Xenopus tropicalis: one gene and its partner. The protein of the gene in region 1 binds, or shares a complex with, the protein of each later gene. Links are inferred from orthologs where the notes say so. Each region holds a gene or a part of one and is shown in the gene's direction. Other genes may lie near its edges.

The links.
Region 2: the proteins of farsb (region 1) and farsa are in contact, whole or in part, in a crystal structure (PDB 3L4G), measured with the Homo sapiens proteins. The link is inferred for Xenopus tropicalis from reciprocal best matches to the Homo sapiens genes FARSB and FARSA. Residues at the interface, in NP_005678.3 of Homo sapiens: Glu26, Phe29, Gly32, Leu33, Pro68, Ala69, Asn70, Ile150, Arg152, Asp259, Thr261, Lys262, Arg305, Lys316, Lys317, Val318, Gly319, Ile359, His360, Cys362, Asp363, Glu366, Ala369, Ile370, Tyr374, Asn375, Ile377, Gln378, Met379, Thr380; in NP_004452.1 of Homo sapiens: Ser221, Gly222, His223, Leu224, His225, Leu227, Leu228, Arg231, Ser232, Arg235, Leu239, Gly242, Phe243, Thr244, Glu245, Pro247, Asp249, Asn250, Phe251, Ile252, Glu253, Ser254, Phe263, Gln266, Gln267, Phe277, Phe278, Leu279, Arg280, Asp281.

The regions. Positions count from the first base shown.
Region 1 is NC_030681.2:125,109,097-125,112,913, reverse strand, and holds part of farsb (phenylalanine--tRNA ligase beta subunit), read left to right. Parts: intron 1-509; coding exon 510-582; intron 583-1,198; coding exon 1,199-1,314; intron 1,315-1,504; coding exon 1,505-1,655; intron 1,656-2,484; coding exon 2,485-2,593; intron 2,594-2,794; coding exon 2,795-2,865; intron 2,866-3,273; coding exon 3,274-3,335; intron 3,336-3,418; coding exon 3,419-3,470; intron 3,471-3,817.
Region 2 is NC_030679.2:139,733,955-139,738,337, forward strand, and holds the start of farsa (phenylalanine--tRNA ligase alpha subunit), read left to right. Parts: upstream 1-1,490; 5' UTR 1,491-1,530; coding exon 1,531-1,680; intron 1,681-2,835; coding exon 2,836-3,267; intron 3,268-3,432; coding exon 3,433-3,551; intron 3,552-4,383.

The DNA.
Region 1 (3,817 bases):
TAATTAAATAATTCAGTTTTTCTTTGTAATAATAAAGCAGTACCCTGTTCTTGATCCTAACTAAAATATAATTAATCCTTAAGTATCTTTGGGGGTGTAGTTTTCCTTTAAATATGAGCTAAAACATGAATACAGATTACATTGGCAGGTATAATATATATGTATTTGTATTTAATTCCCCTTCTTTGACCAAACAGTGATTAAACATGGTAAAATAATTGCTTAGCTTTACTAACATGGCCTGTAAAGGATTACTTTTAATTCACAGAAATGTAAAGCCTTTTGCAAAATGTACCCTACTTAATGTCAGTAAAATCACCTAAAATGTGTGTGTATAATTACACTAAAATAATAATTTTTTTTATTTTTGTGTGTGTTGCTGATTAGTTAATGACTTTTAATTCCTTCTTTTCTTAAGGGGCTAGTCTTTAGAGCTGCCATTTTCCCATATCACATTAAGTAAAAAAATATATATGTTTAATATATTTGTATAATATTTTCCTTTGCAGGTTAGAAGCACCAAGGTACAAGAGGATCACTCCATCAGATCAAGGGCTGCAGAGACTTTTCATCACAGAGGAGGTACATCCCTATTTATACATGTTAAACACCTACACTTAAGTTTAGTTATGTTTTTGTTATGAGTTGTCAACAGTGCATGTCAACAGTTGTCAAAATGTGTGCCATGCATGCAATCCCATCTGACCACAAAGCCTTTTTCCAACATTTTTAAGTTGTGGCTTCTTTTGTGCCACACTCCCATACAGACCAGTGTTATTCAGAGCTCTAGATATGGTTGACTGGTGCAACTCTACCCCAATCTCAGCTACTAGACTCTCTGGTCGGATTGAAGCAGATAAACATCAGAAGACTCTTCTTTGCTCAGTAATTTATCTTCTGATAGATGGATGGCCAAACTGAACAGCTCATAGCACTGCTGATTCAAATTCATTATTTTGCAGTAAATACTGCTTATATCTTGAAACTAGAAAAACAAATGCAGATTGCAAAGGAGTTCAGAAGAGCACTCCCCATTAATTTGTCCCCATTAACTTGTACAGCGGAAACATTGCTTTATTGGACCTTATATTGGTTACATTTATTCTCTCTATTACACAATCAATTTCTGTATTTATTAGATAAGAGTTACTTAATTTACAATAAGATTTTTAGGCATTCATCATGTTTTCTCCTCTAGACTGCTGTAGTTCGCCCCCATGCAGTGGCTGCAGTACTCCGGAACATTACATTTACTCAGGAACGATATGATAGTTTCATTGATCTGCAGGAGAAGCTTCACCAGAACATCTGCAGGTACCTATAACTTCTACAGATAACTGTGCTTTTTATAGCTGGCTTTGTGATTTTGTATGTATATGTGTGTACCATATTTGTACACACATACAGTGCATACATATCTACATGAATAGTTTGTTGCCGTGCTGGGGGCAGCGGTGCATGTTATTCCTTGCAAGTCTGACATTCATTTTGGTTTAATTAACAGGCGGAGGACTTTGGTGGCAATTGGCACACATGACCTGGACACTATCTCTGGCCCATTTGTATACACAGCTAAACCACCTGCAAGTATTAAATTTAAGGCCTTGAACCAAAGCAAGGAGTTAACAGCCCCAGAGCTAATGGACCTGTACAGAGTGAGTACCAAGCCTTATGTTATGTAGTGCTCTCTGGTGATGCAGGAAGTTGAATTTAACAGCTGGTGGGCCACAGGACTTCCCTAACAGAAAATGCTCAATCAACTTTAATAATCTTCCATATTTAGTTTTTTCTCTTAGGGGATGCACAAATGGCCATAGCCTGAATAGCGGCTACAGAAGTGGTTCTACAGGGCTGTAATTAGCCCTCTTATTACCTTAGTAGTGATTTTATTTACTTGCATGCCTAAATGGAGAAGTTTAGTTTATCAAGAATCTGTATTTACTATTTTACTATATTTAATTTAAGAATGTATAGATAATTGTACAACAGATTTTTTTTTTTTTTTCTTTTAATAAGCTTAAATAAAAACCGCAACCTTAGTGGCCATAAATATATGGGATTTTGTGTATTCAGAGGCAAACCATATTGCATCTGTTATTCAAAAAATACTTTGTAAACCAAATCAGGCAGCAGCGATATGGTTAGCTTGCCATTATTGAGGCATTTGCTAAGGAGTCCTGTTATATTAAAGGTTTTCTTGGGTTGCAGCATGGGTACTGGAACCAGTGAATCCTTTGTAGTTTTACAAAGAAGAAATGTTCTTGTGAATTACGCAGCCCTTCCTCATTAAAGGGCTTTAGGGAGCTCTTCAAAAACCAGTACACCTAGGAATTTGCACAGTCTTGAATACTGCATGAACTGCTATCTAAACAATAATACAGTTAGTGTCCATAAAGGTAATAGGAAGGAAAGTCCCTCTCTTACCATTGCTTGTGTCCCTTGTCTGGAGCAGTATAATGAACTGATCATGTGTTCCTCACCCAGACTGACAGCCATATGAAGCACTATCTGCACATTGTTGAGGATAAGCCTGTTTATCCAGTAATCTATGACCGCAACGGAGTGCTGCTGTCCATGCCGCCGATCATCAATGGTAAGAAGGTAGAATTAGCAATGCTAAGGTTGAAAGTGCTGCGTATTGTAATCAAGAATAGGTGTTTTTGCATTTCCTTTCCAGCAATACAGACCTTTACTATTCACCTGTTAATGCAAGCATGCTGCTTTCTGTCATTAATGCATCTACTATTTGCATCGTTCAACTGCATTGGTAAAGTGTGTATATCTTTTCATGTAGGGGATCATTCAAGAATCACCTTAAATACTCGCAACGTATTCATTGAATGCACCGCAACTGATTTGACAAAGGTAATGCCCAGCTGTAACTGATTTAGCTCAGATATATGTTTTGGGCAATGCATTCTTTTTTTTTTTTTTTTTTTTTTTAAATTGTTTTTATTGAATTTTATTTAACATAAAGAAAGAAGCGAGAGGAGATAGGAAAGAATGGAAAATAGCATGTTACGGTTCTTGGCACAGACAGTCTAGACAATAACTTCCTTATGTAGCACTTAGTACAGGCATTGATTTTCTTACATTGGTTCGAGCTAGACATATGCAGCCTAAACATAGGTAGATGTATAGACATCTGTGTTTTGCTGTTAATTTGTATTTATGTTAATAAACTGTTTCCCAACGTATATTGTTTACTGTTGTTTCCGAGGGCAGTGCATTCTTAGGGGCTATTGCACTTAAAAATGTTTTTTTGTTTCACAGGCCAAAATAGTCTTGGATATTATGGTCACCATGTTTAGTGAATACTGTGCTGAACCATTCACGTGAGTAAATTGCAGTAGAAACCTGGTGCTTTGGCAGTGAGCAATATTTATTTATAAATGTCCCGTGTGTTATTGCTTTGCAGTGTAGAGGCAGCAGAAGTTATTCAGCCAGATGGATCGACTTCTATTTACCCAGTAAGTAGCCTACACCTTACTGTCATTTTGTAATTATTACTGGATGCTGAATTTAAACCCATTTCAAACCCATGCCACCTTTTATATACATTTTAATGGACCCTTTTTTCTTTATATGCACCATATTAGATAATTGCCACACAGTGGCAAATAGAGACTGTATGCAAAACCATAGGCTATACCTAATGCTCTCTAAATCTTCCCAGTAAATACCAGTGCATATGGAAAGTCATTACTTTTGACTGAATGTAGGCCTGATTTATCAAATCCCTGGATGTAGGGATGTAGTCATGGTGGCTGCCATTCATATTTTAATAGGGCCCATATTTGCATGGCTTATGACTACA
Region 2 (4,383 bases), on another chromosome or scaffold:
ACATTGCAGGGGAGCTGAAGGATGTTGGGGAGGACACTGGAAGGGGGCTGGAGGAAGGTAAGGGGCAGCTGGGGGACGCTGAGGAGGACATTGCAGGGGAGCTGAAGGATGTTGGGGAGGACGCTGGAAGGGGGCTGGAGGAAGTTAAGGGGCAGCTGGGGGAAGCTGGAGGATACTAGGGCGGAGCTGAAGGATGTTGGGGAGGACACTGGGAGGGAGCTGGAGGATGCTGGGATGGAACTGGAGGATGCTGGGAGGAAGCTGGAAGATGTTGGGTGGATGCAGGGGGGAGCTGGTGGATGCTGGGGGAGCTGGAGGATGTTGGGTGGATGCTGGAGGATGTTGGGTGGATGCTGGGGGGAGCTGGAGGATGTTGGGTGGATGCTGGAGGATATTGGGTGGATGCTGGGGGGAGCTGGAGGATGTTGGGTGGATGCTGGGGGGAGCTGGAGGATGTTGGGTGGATGCTGGGGGGAGCTGGAGGATGTTGGGTGGATTCTGGGGGGAGCTGGAGGATGTTGGGTGGATGCTGGGGGGAGCTGGAGGATGTTGGGTGGATGCTGGGGGGAGCTGGAGGATGTTGGGTGGATGCTGGGGGAGCTGGAGGATGTTGGGTGGATGCTGGAGGATGTTGGGAGGATGCTGGGGGGAGCTGGAGGATGTTGGGTGGATGCTGGGGGGAGCTGGAGGATGTTGGGTGGATGCTGGGGGGAGCTGGAGGATGTTGGGTGGATGCTGGGGGGAGCTGGAGGATGTTGGGTGGATGCTGGGGGGAGCTGGAGGATGTTGGGTGGATGCTGGGGGGAGCTGGAGGATGTTGGGTGGATGCTGGGGGGAGCTGGAGGATGTTGGGTGGATGCTGGGGGGAGCTGGTGGATGCTGTAGTTTGGAGCGGCCCAAAGTAGGGGGACACTGGGGGAGGACCAGCAATGTTTTAGGGGGTCCCTGCTCTGGCACCAATTCAAAACATAACACCTGGCTACCAATGTCTGTCATGAGTCATGATATACAGGTGCCACAGTGCGTAATGAAATCCTTAGTGCAACAATATGTCATAAAATGATTGGGGCCACAGTGTCTGTCTTCTGATGCACTTTGTGTATGTTATGCTTTTCAGGTGTGGTTTTATAAAATGGTCCCTCCTTCTACTTTTCAAATTTTGGGAGGCTCCCCCTAAGTGATTTTGAAGCACTCTGGAAAATAGGTCGCCAGACAAAGGACCTTTTCCTGTGGGCACCATAACAAATGTTTATTTAGAGAAGGTATAACCCCGTTATCTTACGTGGGGCGGCCAGAGAACAGGGTGCAAGAATATAACTATAGTTAATTCGATGGAGGTGAGAGTAGTATGATGGCCTCTATCGCATGTATGGGGGTGACAGAGAGGGCTACGATGGGAGTAGCAAGATGGCGTACTTCCGGCATAAGACTCGCATCTCAGTGAAGCCGGCCGAAGTCTGACTTCCTGCCTGCAGCTAATATGACATTTCCGGGTGATTCGTGCGCAGGCGCAGTGAGCAGGCCGGCAGCATGGCAGACAACTCAGTATCGGAGCAGCTGTTACAGAGATTACAAGATGGAGGCAGTAAAGGCGTGGATAGCTTGGAGCTGGCGGCCCTGCTCGGCGTGGAGCATCAGCAGGTGGTGGGGGCAGTGAAGAGCCTGCAGTGCCTGGGGCAGGTGAGGGGCAGCTTCTGATGCAATAACACTCACCCCCGCCATAGGGACATTACAGGGGATCAGCTGTGCCCATTGGCTGGCAGTCAGCTCCTTCAGCTGTGCCCATTGGCTGCTTATGTGCTGACAGTCAGTTCCCTGTAACCTGCAGGCAAAGTTGGCATCTAGTAGTGATAACTGTCAGCCATGTATAAGCCACCCTTGTGCTTACTGACCTTTATGTGTGACTGCTCCAGGGGCTTATTATAGGTATCTGGGTGGGTGAATAGGATCACTTGGGGGGATTTATTTCCCAGGCCTTGATTCTCATAGGGTGTGTGTCGGGCCCTATTTTGCCACCCCCAGGAGTTTAAGGAAACTTTCCCTAGCACTTAAAATAGAACTAATGTTTACCAGGGTAGAATGCTGTATTATATACTGGACTTACCTTCCCACTCCAGAGACTCAGCAGCCCTAAAACAGTAACAATCCAGCCCTATCAAGTTGCCCACAGCAGATCTTGTTAGGCCATCTTTTGTGTGTCGGTGGCACGGCACATGCTCAGTGGCCTCTGGCCGACTCAGAAGCCACTGGAAGTAATCAAGCAAAATATGAGGTTCATATGTCACAGAGGCTGATGCTATAGGGCTGATTATTATTAATCTGAATGAATTACTAATTAGCCGGACTTTTATATTGTATATTGTGAGTTGGTCCCTACGCTCAGGTAAGTGACAACAGGAGACTGTAGGAGAGCAGTTATATAGAGGCCTGTCCCCTGGGTCTCTTGGCTACCTATTAATGCCCCTGCATCCCATCGATAGCTGAAAGGCCATTTGGGTACTGCAGGCAGCTAAGCATACTTCCATTCCCAAGGTATCGGGTCCTGAGGATCCTATGGACCTAGCTTTTTGGTTGTTAGGGTCCAGTTTGCCCTAGCAACCAAGCAGTGGTGGGAACGAGAGACTGGTAAATGAATTGGAGATGCCTGAATAGAAAGATAAGTAACAATAACAGTAATATTGTAGAGTCACAGAGCAATAGGTTTTTGGCTGTCGGGGTCAGTGACCCCCTTCCATTTGAAAACTGGAAATATATAGAGGGGAAGGTAAAGCCGACTGAAGTATGGAGCTGCCTAGCTATTCTCTAATACTGCCATTTCTCCCTCTTCACCTGCAGATAATTGAGGCGGAACAGCGCTCCAGCAAGAAATGGGAGCTCAGCTCAGAAGGGGAAGAGATTGCCCGCGAGGGGAGCCACGAGGCCAGGGTCTTCCACAGCCTGCCCAAAGAAGGCTTGCTTCAGAGCGAGCTGATGGTGAGTGGCCGAGGGGATGCCTGGCTTATACATATTTATGTAGGGGGGGGCTGTGATACATGGCTCACTAGCATGAACTATAACTCCCAGCATTCTCACTTAGTACAGAGATGCCACACTTGCTTCCTTCCCTCTCAGTGCAGAACTCACACAGACTATTACAAGGCTCATTTTGTTGTGTTGAATCCTCTGCAGAAGCAGCCCATAGCTAAAGTTGGCTTCAGTAAAGCCATGTCCAACAAATGGGTCCGTGTGGATAAAGCAGCAGAAGGAGGGCCCCGCATCTACAGAGTGGTGAGTCCTGATGTCTGTCCCTGTTAGCTGTCTCCTCTCTCTCTTTGTCCCTCTACTTTCCGTGTCTCTCTCTATCTATGTCTCTCCTCTGTTCTATTTGTCCTCACCTTTCCATCTCTCTCCACCTCACCATTCCCTCACTTTCACCCCCTGCCGTTCTTGCAGGTAGACTCCATAGAGGACGCAGTGAAGGAGAAACTCCAGCTCATCCTCAAGGGAAAGGCCGATGATGTGAATGAGAAGGACAAGAACGAGCTGAAGAAGAGGAAACTTGTCAATGAAGTGTAAGTCCGGAAACACTAATCCCTACGCCATTGCTTATTGTTACATGGGTAAGTTGTTGCTAGGCAGGACCCCAGTAACGTCTCCTCTAAGCCCAGCGTTATGATAGGCTACACAGGTGGTATCTACCACATTGCATAGCTGGTGTCCAAATGTAGGTGGGCATTCATGGCAATAGGTTAGTGTTGGTGTATGCTTTGTGTTAGAGTTCTGTAGGACAGGTGCCCATGGGTTACAGTTTTTTGGGTTTAGTCCTTTAACCTTCCCAACCTAGGATTGTGGGGAGTGTTTACTAAGATTGGAGATAAATATCTCCGGTGATGTTGCCCATAGCAACCATTCAGCAATAAGATTTGAACAGTCACCAACAAGTTAGAAATCAAAGCAAAGACCTAATTGGTTGCTACAGGCAACATCACTGGTGATATTTATCTCCATTCTTAGTAAACATACCCCTTAGTCCCTTCCAGGCTATGACAGTGCTACTTCTGTTTTTACAGTTGGCAGTAGGTATTGGGCAAGATCAGGTAAAAATGGGGGTCATATTTAATTAGAATCTAATTTGAGCAGAATTAGTGAGAATATAACCCGACTGCCACCCGTTATTGCCCATTGACTGGGCCCATTGTGTAACAAAAGAGCATCAATGCTGAATTCATACACTAGGGGGCAGTGCAGTACCAGTCAGCATATATACAATAGATTTTGGTTGGAAACCATATACAATGGGGTGAATCAGTGACACCATATAAGCTGCACTGGAGCAGTCATACTAAAGAAGCAATAAATCAAATGTAAACTAAATATTTCAGAGATATTTGACTATTTTTACCC